2 linked regions of the Medicago truncatula genome follow. Each later gene encodes a partner of the first gene's protein in a complex. Links are inferred from orthologs where the notes say so. Each region holds a gene or a part of one and is shown on either strand. Other genes may lie near its edges. The genes, in order: trafficking protein particle complex II-specific subunit 130 homolog and trafficking protein particle complex II-specific subunit 120 homolog.

The links.
Region 2: trafficking protein particle complex II-specific subunit 130 homolog (region 1) and trafficking protein particle complex II-specific subunit 120 homolog share a complex: the UniProt entries of both Arabidopsis thaliana proteins name them as parts of the multisubunit TRAPP (transport protein particle) II complex. The link is inferred for Medicago truncatula from reciprocal best matches to the Arabidopsis thaliana genes CLUB and TRS120.

What each region holds. Positions count from the first base shown.
Region 1 is NC_053043.1:39,890,667-39,897,821, forward strand, and holds the start of trafficking protein particle complex II-specific subunit 130 homolog, read left to right. Parts: upstream 1-3,869; 5' UTR 3,870-4,049; coding exon 4,050-4,113; intron 4,114-4,722; coding exon 4,723-4,952; intron 4,953-5,828; coding exon 5,829-6,010; intron 6,011-7,115; coding exon 7,116-7,155. Other genes in the region: uncharacterized protein, read right to left, coding at 1-59. UniProt on the Arabidopsis thaliana protein: Specific subunit of the TRAPP II complex, a highly conserved vesicle tethering complex that is required for the proper transport of proteins in post-Golgi trafficking pathways to the growing cell plate in mitotic active cells.
Region 2 is NC_053042.1:2,812,225-2,819,822, reverse strand, and holds the start of trafficking protein particle complex II-specific subunit 120 homolog, read left to right. Parts: upstream 1-4,482; 5' UTR 4,483-4,557; coding exon 4,558-4,968; intron 4,969-5,758; coding exon 5,759-5,965; intron 5,966-6,404; coding exon 6,405-6,587; intron 6,588-7,598. Other genes in the region: ribosome biogenesis protein BRX1 homolog 2, read right to left, coding at 1-51, 236-314, 815-956, 1,413-1,618. UniProt on the Arabidopsis thaliana protein: Specific subunit of the TRAPP II complex, a highly conserved vesicle tethering complex that is required for the proper transport of proteins in post-Golgi trafficking pathways to the growing cell plate in mitotic active cells.

The sequences.
Region 1 (7,155 bases):
GGTTTGGAAATTGAAGGGAGGAAAGTGTGGTGAGGTACTGTGCTGTGAACGGAAGCCATTGAAGTGAGTTGGTGAGTTCTAGCTTCCCGAGTCACTGAGTTTCGTCTTCTTTGAGTTGGGTGAGCTTACATAGAAACGCGTTCGTTAGTTTATAGCGGTTTCGTGATCTTGTGTCTCGCATCCTATGACTTTTTGTGTGGCTCCAGAGAGATAGATGTAGCAGTATACCGGGCGATCATATTTTAAAGTTTTAACTAATCTACGTTAAAGGAGAAGGAGATAAAAATAGAAATATAGCATGCAAAAAAATTTAATCAGATTAAAACGTCAAATCATCTAAAAAAACTGATAAACAGCAAAAATTGAGTTTTTTTTTTTTTTTAATTCTTACATTTTTAGAGGAAATGATTCTAACAATTCAACGTTTGATCAAAAAGTAAATAAAATAAATAAAGTATGTTCAATAATTATTTTCACGGAATATGTTTAAATTTTTCTTTTGTAAAAATTGTTCGGATTAGATTGAAGTCTAGACTATTTTTAAAGCTGGATTAAACCAAATATACATATTTTAAGACTCATTTATATTTTCCCTTTAAAAAAAAAAAAACTCATTTATATTTTATTAGTATGATATATTTAATCTCACATTTGTGGTAATTGTGAGTTTTATGTATAGTTCATCACTTCAGACAAAAAAAAAATCTAGTATTTTTTAGGGGAGTAATCTACTATTTTTTAGGTTTTTTTAAGGCTTTATTTTGGAGTTTAGAGAGGAGGAAAAGAGGGTTTAAGAGGTGGGAAATATTGAAAATAATAGAGAAATCTTTCATATTTTTTGAAAAAAAACATGATAAATTAACATTTATGAATTATATATTTTTAATTTAAAAAACATTATAGCAACATAGATTAAGAAAATATCGGAAAAAATAGAGAAAATTTTCACATTATTATTCCACCGTGTTAATTGTTAATAATATATTACCGTACATGTTAAATTTATCATATATTTATAATTTATATTAATTAATAAAAAATTACAATTATGTAATTATGATGTTAAAAATATTGATTTAGATTAAACCGTATGTAAAAGAAAACTATATAAAATTGGATCGGATGAAATTTTTTAAAGAAGCATCCAAACAAATCAAAATAAACCACGTATGATTTTGATTAGTGTTATTTGAACAACCATTTGACTAACAACTTATACGACAACCATAGTTTACAAAGAAAATATAGATATTTGCACGAAACTCAAAGCAATAAAGAGATAAAATAAAAAAATAATGTGAATATGAGAAATATAGTTATCACAAAACGAATGTTCAAATATTATTTCTCTATAATTTTTTTTATCTTTAAATATGATGATATTTTGACAGTTTTGTCTAATGTCAATCCAAACACCTCTAATTTTGGGTTTGACTAATGATGCGATTGGTTGTTGTGTGGGAGAGGTGTAGCTTGATACGGTGAGACGCCGTACATGGAGAACATGGACGAAGATAAATGGTGTCCACATGAAACATGTAGATCAGTTGGGTATCATAAAAATTAAAATTAAAATTAATACATGTAGATAAAGTCTGCTAAAATTGCCTGAGAAGATACTCTACCACAAATATTTATGTCCTCTTTTAAGAATCTTATTATTTTTTTGGGTTCTTTAAAGAATCTTATATATTTGTTAAAAAGAAGACAGTATAAGATTTTGTTGCTGTCATAACGAAGTTCAATGGAAATTTCTCAAAAATAATTTTTCAAAAATTTTCATTTTATAAATAACGTATTTATCAACAGCATAAAATATGTCTCTAAAAAAACTATAGAATGTGTTTAAAACATGTATATCTATAAATCACATACTCGACTTAACGTAGTATACCCGTAGGCCCATTTGTGAGTATAATAAGACCACGCCCGAGGTTACTCGGTCGAGGGAGGGGAACATGATGAGCATTGTAGAGGATAATGGTGTTAATCCTCCAAATAAATTGTCGACGACAATACCATTAGAACGTTAGTTTAGTTCCCCACCTATAGCCAACTTGAAGGAAACCAGGATTCATTCACTTCTTACCTATAATGGTAGGTGATTAAAAGGCTCAGTCGAACTATTCCATGAATCGTCTAACAATCGAGCAAAATCAAAATTCGTTAACGGTATGTGTCTAAGAGCTCGGCCTAACAACTCCATGGATCGTCTAAACAATAAAGGAAAATCAAGATTCATTCACTTCTTACCATAATGGTATATGTTTAAAAGGCCCAACCTTCCATGGATTGTAGAACAATAAAACCCATTCAAAAAGGAGCAAACATACTTAATAACGGGAACATAAGCGAGTGTGTTTGAGATGCCGACCTAATCTCAAAACATTACGCAACACAATATTATGTCTCAGGTGCCATACAAGGAAATCACCTTGTTTCCGCATCAAATAAGCCCATTTGACAGCTATAGTTTAGCTTGATACCTCACATCTCACATATCTTTTGCCAATTTTTATCTTCATTTGAATTTGATGGTTCAGAGGAAAATCTTCTTCAAAAATTAAAAACATTATTCATCAAAGTATGAGCTTCACGAGGATTTGTGACTCAGTAAAAATCTCCCCCTATTTTCGATGATGGCATACATGTACATTTAGATTAACATTTATTTATTTATTTTTGAGATATATAAACAATTTGAGGATAAGTCTTAAGAACCCCCCCCTAAGATTGTGCTAAACTTTATGAAACATAACATGATTTTACGGTTGATACATGATTTCACACCTGATACGTATTGTAACCTCTCAAAACATTCATATATTCTAAGAATAAAATAAGCCGTTTATCTAAACATAATAGGGCATTTAGATCAATTCATAAATATCCGTATACATAAAAAAAAAAAAAAAATTAAAAATAAATATTAACTAAATAAAAACTAATCATTGTAATTGCAAAAAAAGGTCCTAAAGGATTACATGGTTCAAGCAACTACAACAAAGATGCCCTCTTGGCCTAATCTATGAATTAACCACTCATGATAAATCTAAACATAGACCGTGAGTCTACGAAGAACAATACAGGAATAAGTGATGATCCAAAAGATGAAGTCTTGTTCCCGGTATATTCAATATGCTCCAACCTTCAAGAAATCCAAAATCGACCCCTTTGGAAGTGTTACTTGATGCCTTTTATAAATTTTCGAATCTCAGTGATTCAAAAACGGGCCTATGTATGCCTCTTTGTGCAACGCGTTGACTTCCTCTTCCTCATGCAATATCACATATTTAATAGCACTTAGTTCTTATGTCTTTCTTCATTCCTTGTCCACTTTTCATCACCGTAAAAAACATTATAAGATCATAAAGTTGTATGGTTAGGGTGAATTTGAGCTAGTTTCAAGGTCTTCTTTGCACTTTTCTCCTTTCATGATCATTTCTTCAATTATTATAAAACTCAACTAAAATAAACCCATCTAAAAGCCTATGAAATGACTGATAAAAGACACTATAATATTGTTATGAGCGAGTATCGTCACGTTAATATATTATTAACATAAGACATACATAGTGATGTTTTTATAATTTTGATAGTTTTAAAACTATAACTATAGTATATATTTTTTTGGTGTTAACCTTCTGATTCTCAGCAGAAGAGAACCATAATAATAAAGTTCAATTATTAGGTAAGTATAATTAACCAAATTAAACTCGATTTTTTTTTTCTTAACTAATTGTTTTTTGACGAAGCTCATTAACCATTTGATTGAAAAAATGTTTCGTAGACAAAATGATTACTGGTTTAATCCATTTTAAAGGACTTTATAACCATAGTGAAAAGTAAAAAAAAAGAAAGCTCCATGATATTGACGGCTACGGCAAGAGAGAGTTATGAAACGAAGTAGCGTTGGATCGTGGAGTGAGTGTGATACATTACATACACCGCGAAACACTAACTGGATCTGCGGGAAGTAACATCTTCTTTTTCTCAACTAACTCTCACTTCACTGCACATGTTGGATCTAGATACTCTTCAGATCCAACATGGCTAACTTCCTCGCTCAGTTCCAAACCATTAAAAACTCTTCCGATCGCCTCGTCATTTCAGGTACTACTCAAAGATCTCATCACATTCCTTTTCCCGATCATACAAATCTTCATTTCCTCTCCTTTACGATCTATCTATCTCTCGATTACCAATTTATGTATGTTATTTAGGGCTTTTAGTTTAATTCAATTATACTTTTATATATTCTTCTTGCTATGTGATAGATAATATGTATAATCATTTCAACTGTTATACTGAGTAATGCTAGAATTTCAATGTATTTTTGTTCATCAAATGCTTGGAAATCGAGATAGCGTATTCTTTTAATTATGTAACATGAACACTGGTAATAATTCGATAAAATGGATTAATTGAAGGCAATCACTGTTTTACTGAATGAATTTGGTTAACTACACGAAGCATTGTCGCATACATGGACGGATGCAACACTGCCACATGATAATTTAGGAATTGAAGTGATTGAAAGTAACTAAATGTATCAGTGTAGTGTAGGTGTTGAACACCAACATTTGTTGGACACGTTTTCAATCTGAAGTGTCAGTATTACATATGCTACTATAATTGTCGGTGATTTAGATGTGTTTGTGTGTGTGTTTTTGTGAGTGTGTCTCTGTTATTTTATTGATGCTTGATGGAAATGATTATCAGTGGAGGACGTGAGTGACTTGTGGCCGACTGTAAAACCTGCTTTTGAAGCGCGGTTGCCGTTTAAAAGGGCGAGTTTGAATAACAAGACGAGGAACCCTGTTTTGGTTGACAAGTTGCCGGCAGAGTTCATATTAACTACAGATTCAAGGCTCCGTAGTCGGTTTCCTCAGGAGCAGTTGTTGTTCTGGTTTCGAGAGCCGTATGCAACTGTTGTGCTTGTTACCTGTGAGGTAATGCGTATTCCTGTTGATTACTTTTTTTGGATTCTTGCTGAAAGTTGTAATGTTTTGATGACTTCCAAGGTTAGATTAGGGAGATCCACTATGACTTTTGACACAGTTTATAGCTTTCTGCTACAATGTAATTCATTTCGGTAGGTAAAGTAAAAAAAAACTCAACCATTGATGTGAAAATCATGGATATACCAATATACATAACAAATCATAGATGTATTAAAAATTTGAACCGTTGATTTTGTCATCAACGGTTGAGATTCCTTGGATTCACCCTTTAAAGTGATAGCTAAGCTAACTTCAGTGGAGTTAGATTCAAATAAATAACATGCAAAGCGGAAAGAATGAATTTCATGGTGTTGATGAATTAAGTGTAATTGCATTGCAGTACATTACTACATTTCATAACATCATTTAATTGCATTTTGATAGATAGAATTTGAAAAGATCTTCGCCCAGTTTATTAGTATCTCTATTACCTACACATTCTTGGGCTAGGGCCGAGCCTTTCAACTTTAAGGAAGTCCCGTTTCTTGCTTAGCGTGTTCAGCACAAGGTAATGGGATAGGGTGTTATGCTTTGTCCAAGCTTTAAATATGAAGAGCTTTAAGGTGTGTGGGTGGGTGGGGGTGGGGGCATTCATATATAAGGGGAAACCTCAATTTTGCAGTATTTACAGACATGATAATTACTGTCAATTGTCATATTTCTGGTCATAGTTCTATGCTGAACTTTAGACCATTCAGGAAATAATCTAAATTATCAACTATTCAATTTAAAATTGTTTCATTCAATAAATTTTGGTTCATAAACTTTTCATTGTTTCTGTTGCAGAATTTATTATGTAGTGTAACTCTTATTTTCTCTTACCAGGATCTTGATGAGTTTAAAAGCATCCTTAAACCACGCCTGAAATTAATTGTCCAGAATGATGAAAGGGAATGGTTTATTGTATTTGTATCTAAAGCTCATCCAGCTAATGATCAGGCAAACAAAATGGCAAAGAAAGTATATGCTAAACTTGAAGTTGAGTTTAGCTCCAGAAAAAGAGAAAGGTAAACTTGCAAGGGAATGACTTGTTGGTTGACAATTTATCCAAATGTTTTTCTCGACTCAAGTTTATTTTAGACATTACAGAATACAGTCAATGTATTTTTCTTTTGAACAAGAATACAGCATTGTATAACAATCTTAACAATCATTTAGTTGCACACTTTTGTCAAAAAAAATAAAAAATAAATCATTTAATTGCACACTGTTCTCAATATTGTGACTTGATGTGGCAATAGTTAATTGAAAGTGGTTTCTTGAAAATTGAATATAATTTACAAAAAATATTAGGAGAGAAAAACCCGAGATAATCTCTGAGAAAGTGATATTTTTTATAATTTTATTTTGGAGAAGGGCAAATTATCATTAATTAAAGTGGCATTATTGGCCATTTTACAGCTTTTCAACATGGGATTTGAACTCCGTCGTTGAGGCTATAAGGTCAATATCTTACCACAAAGCTGACACCTCATGGACGAAAGTTATATGAACTATGAGAAAGTGATCTATTAACCTCATGTACCAGTCTCTGTTAATTCTGCTCTAACAGAGCTGTAACTGACAGTCTGTAACAGATTAAAGCTAACTGCAACAGCTCTATCACAATTATATCACTTGCAGAAATATATCAACAAAACAGAGACTGGTACACATGTCTAACTAGCTCTAACAGCTAACTGGTGCCAAAGTACATTAACAAAACAGAGACCACACACACGTGCAGAATAATCTGCAATGAAGACTGTAAGTTTAGTTTTATGGGTTGGTCTTAGTGTTGCTTTCTGTGGACCATTCTTCCATTATTGTGTCCTTCGCTTAACATGAAGGACTGTCAGATAGATATTGTTGGATCAACCCTTCAACTGTTAATAATTCATGTGAATGGTTGAGAATTTGATGTTGAATTAGATGGAAGAAAAAAGTAGAAACTGTAAGAAGTGATTCTCCCCAGAAATACTGACCAATCACGAGTAAAAAAAGAGTGGTTTTTCATACTTTTCCTTCTCATTCATTCCAATATGTCTAGTTTAACTGCATAATTGTTGATATTTGATAAAGCTTGCTTTTCTTCCCTTTTGATGCTTTTAACACTGTGTTATCCTTATTTAGATGCTGCAAATATGATATGCATTTCCCTGAAGCACATTTT
Region 2 (7,598 bases), on another chromosome or scaffold:
GGGAGCCTTTTAGGTGATTCCCAGTAAGCTTCAATTCCTCCATTGTGTGCACTGGAAATCAGTGAAGGTAAAAGAGAAACTAGTAAAATGGCCTCAGAGAGAAAGAAAGAGAGACAATCATAATTCAAAAAGAAGAATGAAGAACTGGATTACTGATCCCAGAATACTATATAATCATAGCAAGGAAATTGGTTTATGTAGTAAACTTAAGATAACAAACAGATGAGAATATTACTGGCACTAACTAAAAATTTAACAGACGGGCCGTTGGGGCATTTTGCCATCCAGAGATAAAGATCTTTTGCCTTCCTGCACTGAATTTCACATACACAGAAGGTAGATATAAGATAGTTATCCAAATGTTACAAATAGACTAGACTTGCTCGAGATTAAGAATGGTAACTCAAACTCGAGATTAAATGGAAAATGTTGTCTCAGTCGACAGATTTAAAACAAGTAAACTTTGTAAATACAGAGAAAGCCAATTTGGGAGGGGAAAGAAAAGAGTGAAATTCTCTACACTTTAAAATTCTTAATGGATAAAACAAAAATCTATAAGACACAATAATCAGATGTGTAATCCATCACATAAAGGAAATAGATTATATCAATTCGAAACTAACCAACAACAACATATTACATTACATCTAAATATCAACATAGACATCAACATTTGTAACAAAATGGAATAATTCTTGACACCAACAAACAGTGAATTTTCTAACTCAACAACAACATAGCATAGCTCATAAACATAATGCATAGTTTTCATTGAAAAACCTTAATGTCATAAAAAATAAAAAATAAATAATACCTCAAAAAATAAACATGAAGAACAGTTTTTGAGCTCAACAAGCTCGTTCAAGGTGGCGCCTTTAGTTTCTTTCGATTCAACCTTGTTATCCTTTTTGCAATGAGGTAGAAGTGATACCAAGTTCAACATCAAATGTCGGTACCTATAATAAGTTTATGATCAATACCATATTAAAAAACTAGTAACCCACAATAAAAGGAAGAAGTTTTTTTGTGCTTAATTTCACACACAAAGGACTTGTTTGGATTGCATTATTTAAATTTATCTACTGGAAATTGGGATAAACACTTGTGAGACTGTTTGGGACAACTTCTAGAAACAACATATGAAATGTCCACAAACTGTTTTCAGCATCTTCCATAAGCTCTTCAAGATAGTTTATGAATACAACTTATAACTTACATCAAAACCATTTGACATTAATTTAATTTTTGTTGCAGAAATAACTTATAAATAAGCACTTACAAGATAAACCCTTACAGCATAATAACTTAACTAAGTTGTTAGCCAAACATACCCAAAATAAACAAATCCGAAATCAAAACAAGCACAAACTGCGTGATAACAGCAAAATATATTTGGGTTTTGAGATTTACACCTGTAAACAATACGCCTAGAGCAAGTAACCAAAACTTTCTCTTTGTTCCTGAATACAGGTGAAGCACCGTTGTCCTTAACCTCAGCTTCATTCTCATTCTTATCCTTCCATCCCAAAAGGGTCCTCACTGGTCTCTCTGGAGCAACATCTTCCTTTTTGGGCACAGCCACAGCTTCAGCCTTTTCACTTCGCTTTCTCTTCCCCATGTTATTTGGCTACAAATCAATCACATAATATAAATTAAATCATTTAATTCATATACGCCGTTAGTGTAAAAAGTTGTTACATTGTCAATCAATCGTAGCTGATAGAACATTCCAAAAGTTTGATGTTTATCATAATCACTTCAAAAGTCACAAACATTATTGGTTGTTTGAGATAGTAACAGTACAAAACAGTGAATAAAAATTAAACTTTGGGCCATTTGGATTGGCTTATTTTAGCTTATCTATTTGCATAAGTTTTGTGAGACTGTTTAGGAGAACTTATGAAACCAACTTATGACGTATTCATAAGCCGTTTTCAGCTTATTTTCATAAGTTCTCCAAGTTAACTTATTAAAACAGCTTATAGCTTATACAAAGACAATTAACTTAATCTCATCATTTTCCATAGAAATAGCTTACACGTAGCTGCAAATAAGCTGTTTATCCAAATGGGGTCCTATCTTATATTAAAACTAATAATACATGATCCATTTTACTACAAAATGAAATTTTGTCAATGACCCATTTGCCATTTTGGTTCAAAATAATATTTTGACAGTGACCCATTTGATTTCTTCAGTTAAGATAACAAAAACAGATACATACATACAGTAATAATGGTGGAAGCAGAACAATAAAAGCATGCACGATGACAATTAAACGAAATAAGAGAGAAAACGGATATAGAGAGAAGGAAGGTACCTAGGTGATTGCAGAGGAAGGAGGTGAAGGTGGATAATCGCCGGCTATGGATGGAGGTTTTGGTGGCTGTGAAAAACGAAAGGAAAGGGTTTTAGACCTATTATGAAAGCCCACTTCTAGTTTTTTTTCTTCTAGAATTTTGAAGGTTTGAATATCATATTTTTTGTGGTAAATCATTATGATATTTTTTTCTTTTGATAATTTGTTTTACTTTTTACAAAATTTATATTTGATTTTTATTTATATGCATTAAATTTGTTGGATAATTTATTATGTTGGATTTTATTGACTTTTAAGGTTTCTTTAAAAATTCTTTAACAATCAAGGTTTTTTAGTTTGTATTTGAATGGTGGATTAATAACATAAATTTTTGGATTTCAAAATGTTTTATTTATGAATTAAAGATTAAGGGTTTAAATTTTAACCAGGAGAAAAATATTACATAACAATTAATATTTCATCATTTAACGGTAAAAAATGTCACGTAAACTCAATTTACACACAAAAAATACATAAGTACTAAGTAAACTCGGTTTACATAAGTTACGTCAATTAAGTTTGTGAGCGCTGAAATGATTTGAGATGTACCCAAAACGTGAGGAACAAGTGCAAGATTTTGATTACATTGAAAATTTTATTTCATTTTAAAAATATTTTATTGAGGTATGAATAGTAATTATCTTTGTTCTAGTCGTTTTAAAGGAGAAACAAGGTCGATTTTTTTTTCATTTGAATGAGAAAAAAAAAATATTAAAACACGATTTTTTCCTAGAAAATTAAACAATTAAAAGAGTACATCGAATAACATTGGAATTGTAAAATAAAAAATTACTCATGGATTTCAATAGATTCAGTATTTTTAAAATTTTAAAATACTTTGCGGGTTTTTAAAATTTAAAGGAACACATATGGTTGGACATTTGATTAAAGAGTAACATAAAATTGATTCCTCGTAAATTTGTACAATAAATATGAAATAATTTATCTCTCGTATTATTTTGTCAAATACATCATTCTATAATTATTTTAGTTTGTAAATTTTCACGTTCGTTATCCGTTAACATTTTAAAGAGTTGAAGTGGGTAGTGATGTGAGATTTGAAGCTACCAAATTCACAATAATTGGCGCCCACTGCAGGGTAAGGGGATAAGTTTGTCAAGTGATCAATATGATCACCAAAGATTACATCTTGAAGGTGGAGACAAACATGGATCAACGAAAGTGTATGGAGGCATTTAAAGGTAAGGCGGTGTTGTCGGTCAACCTAGCACAATCAAAGAAGGTTAAGTACTTAAGTGGAAGATAGGATGTCATGACGGTGATGTCATGGCGGTAATGTTTGTTTCCAAAGGTCATGTTCCGTCTAGAGAGGCGGAGGTAGTAGTGCTCGTGTTCAACTTTAGAGGTGGATTTGCGAGGTGAAAGACATAGTGGAAGTACTCATTTGAAAGTTAAGATAAAAAAATCTCAGCTTAAGGTGGAGCTGATAACAGTGGAATGTTACAACTAAGAAGACTTTTGTGTTATGCTCTAATTGCGAGCAATGAAATTCTTCAAGATGACGGAATTGATCACACAGGAGAGCTGAAGAGGTTATGGTGTAAACATGTGGAACTGCCTAAAATTTCTAGTGTAGTTGGATGCAAGAATCTCTGAGAGTGCGAAATACAATATGAGGTAAAGGTGGAAACTTGTGGGACTATAAAGTGTAGTTAGATGCAAGGAGAAAAATCAAACTTGGGAGTTTGTCGAACAACCAAGAGTGGTTGTATGCACGTGAAAGTCCACGTGTGAATCAAGGTTCAAACGAGGATTTAGACTTTATTGCTTTTGTCTCGAATATCATTCAACGCAAGGTTAAAGAGCAAGTTGGTTAATAGTTAAATTGACATAACTATAACTTTAGGTCAATTGGATAATTATCGAGTTTTGACTCAAAATTTGATGTTTATGTTTAAGCAAAATTGCGGCACAAGGCCTCAAGATCGTGGCACGATTTTAGTTCTCAAGTTTGGAGTGTATCTTTGAAAATACTGTGGCACGTGAATTGTTGTGAATCGTCAAACAATTCGTTATTTGGTGAAACTCATTTTTGTTTTGACGTATTTTATGAACGTGAATAAATGAATATTTTATTTTGTAAAAAAAAAAAAAAGGAGATCTAGTTTGTATATGCCGGTGAGTGCGAGTGCAGTAAGAAAGACCAAAGTAACTAACCACTCCGGCGATCACGCAGAATGGAACCAGAAGTAAGCATAGAAGGCTCTTCAACAATCCAAATCGCCGTAATCCCAATAGGACAAATCCCACCACCACTCCTCCGCGACTATTACTCCCTCCTCCTCCCACTCCACACCATCCCTCTCTCCGCCATCAGCTCTTTCTACACCGAACACCAGAAATCCCCTTTCGCTCATCAACCTTGGGATTCCGGTTCTCTTCGCTTCAAATTCGTACTTGGCGGCGCTACTCCTAGTCCCTGGGAAGATTTTCAATCGCATCGGAAAACTCTTGCTGTTGTTGGCATTGTTCATTGTCCTTCTTCGTTGGATCTTAATGATGTTGTTGATCAGTTTGCCAGTTCGTGTAAATCTTATCCTTCTTCGCTTGTTGATCGTTGCTTTGCGTTTTACCCTAATGATTCTCAGGTAGTCACATTTTTTATTTGCATTTCAACTTTTTTTTGGTGATTAATTTCCCTAAGAAATGGATCCATAAAAGGAAATATTTCTTATAATTCTTATTTAATTTTTTATTTTTAGAAATTTCCGTTAGAAATTGTTATAATTAGAAACTTTATTAGGCTCACTTTGGTAAACAATAGCAAATAAGTGACGACTTTACTGATAAGCTAGCTGATTGCTGATAGAAAAATGCAGATTTAATTTTTATTTTATAAATTTAAAAATTCCGAACTTGAATCTGGGCCATTCGATCGAGTAAGACAGCTACTGGGCACACTAACTATGTGAATGTGGTGTTTCCCTTATTGAGGGTATGCTCGATCCTAGCGAATATGATAGCTGATTGAATATGTAATGTTAGGTAAAATTAGCGATCGAATTGACTTATAAACATGAAATGACATAAAATATATATCTTTAATTTATATTAATTTCTTTTAATTAAGGTGGCAGATGTAAAACCGAGCGAAAAATGATAAGTCATAGGTTTTAAGCTTTAAGCTACTTGAGTAAGCTTGACAAAAAAAGCTATAAGCTGCCGAGAAGATGAAGATTACCAAATGGGTGTATTTTAGTTATGTGAGCTTATAAGCTAGTAAAAATAAGTTATAAGCTCATGAAAAAAAGACGGTTACCAAATGAGTCTTTTTTAGTCATATGAGCTTATAAGCTTTAAATTGTAAGCTAGCTTATTGTGCTTGTCAAGCAGATCCTTGTAGGTTTTGTTTATTTATTGTTTTGTTTTTTGTTGTAGCTTGAGGATGGAAGTAAGAGAGGTGGAAATTTGAGGTTGTTTCCACCTGCGGATCGTGCAACGTTAGAGTTTCATTTGAATACTATGATGCAAGAAGTAGCTGCTTCGTTGCTAATGGAGTTTGAGAAGTGGGTACTTCAAGCAGAATCTTCTGGAACTATTCTCAAGACACCTTTGGATTCTCAAGCTAGTCTCAGCTCAGAGGAGGTGTTCATGTTTTAGGTGTCATGAATCATGATTATTATTGTTGTTTTTATTTTTATATCTTGGCGGTGTTATGTGTTATAATGTGGATTTTGATTTTTGGTTTTGTGTTCTTGGCTCTGTTTGGATAAACAGCTCAATTAAGAGCTGATAGTATAATAGCTTATCATCTACGTACTTATGCATAAGCTATTTCCATAACAGAAGATAAAATAATTTCAAATTGTTTTAATATAAGCTGTTTTCATAAGCCATTTTGAAGAGCTTCTAAAAATAAGCTTAAAACAAATTATGGACATGCCATAAGGTGTTTTTTATAAGTTGTTCCAAACAGTCTCTCAAATTCTTATGTTGATATGTTCAGCTCAAATAAGCCAAGTCAAACAGGCCTTGTTGTGAAGTTCAATTTGATTGATCTTTTGTGTGTTTGTGTGGAATGCAGGTTATCAAGGCCAAAAAACGGAGACTTGGGCGTGCTCAGAAGACGATTGGTGATTACTGCTTGCTGGCAGGTTCTCCTGTTGATGCTAATCTTCATTATTCTACTGCATTAGAACTTGGCAGGTTGACTGGGGATTACTTCTGGTATGCTGGTGCATTGGAGGGCAGTGTTTGTGCCTTGCTGGTATTTTTTTTTCCTCTTCTTTTCATGCTTTCATTCTGAGTTAGATTTAAAATTGAATAGTGTTTTTTAAAAAAAAAATAATAATTAAAGATTGTGGACTGTATGGCTAGGCAATCCACATGCGTTGTGTTTTTCATTGGAACCGGTGAAGTAATGTGAGGGTACATAAAAAATTCTCTTCATTATGGGTTTTGTGAACCCTATCTCTGATTGCATCCAAAGTGTGTGTTTGGTTTGGATTCATGGTAGAGAGTTTTTTTTCCTCTATTGTCAAATGTGGTTTTAGTAAATATCCAGATCTGTGGTGTGGTTACTCACAATCAAGATTGGTCTTGCTTGCAAACTTTGGTCAAACTCAAATTTGACTAAATCAGTTTTATAAAATTATGTTCATTCTAAACCACGATTGTAAAATCCTTACCCAAATATAACACTAAACACTGCTTTTGTGTGGTGATTAGTTTTGCATTTTGAAAATGGAAGGGATTGAGACATGCAGCCGTAGTGGTTTTTTATGTGTCTACTGTTAACTGCTTTTTCAAGTGCTTAATTGTTTTTTTATTTGCAGACAACGTATGAACAATTACTTACTTTGTATATAATTTATTCAGAAAGCATGAACTAGCAGACTAGAGTATCGACAATTTAAGGCTCCAATGTCTAAAATCTTTATCATCTAATTTGTGCTCCAATTAAGCTAGATTCTGGTTCTTAGAAGGGAAAGAAGATATGTTCATACGGCTCTCAAATGAATCTTGTCTTCGTTTTTACTCAAGAATTCAAGGGCATGAGGTTTAGGCGGAAATTAGTTGACTTGGAAATGCTGCATGTCATAAATAATTTGGTTATTGATTCAATTTATAGACAGTTTTCTGGCATTGCATGGTATCTGCAGTATAAATATTGTAGTATATTTCTATAAATTGAGAGTAGTGAGAGGCAGTGCACATGGCATAGGAGTATAGATATGTCATATGACGACCATGATTGTCCTGTAAAATGAACACGCTC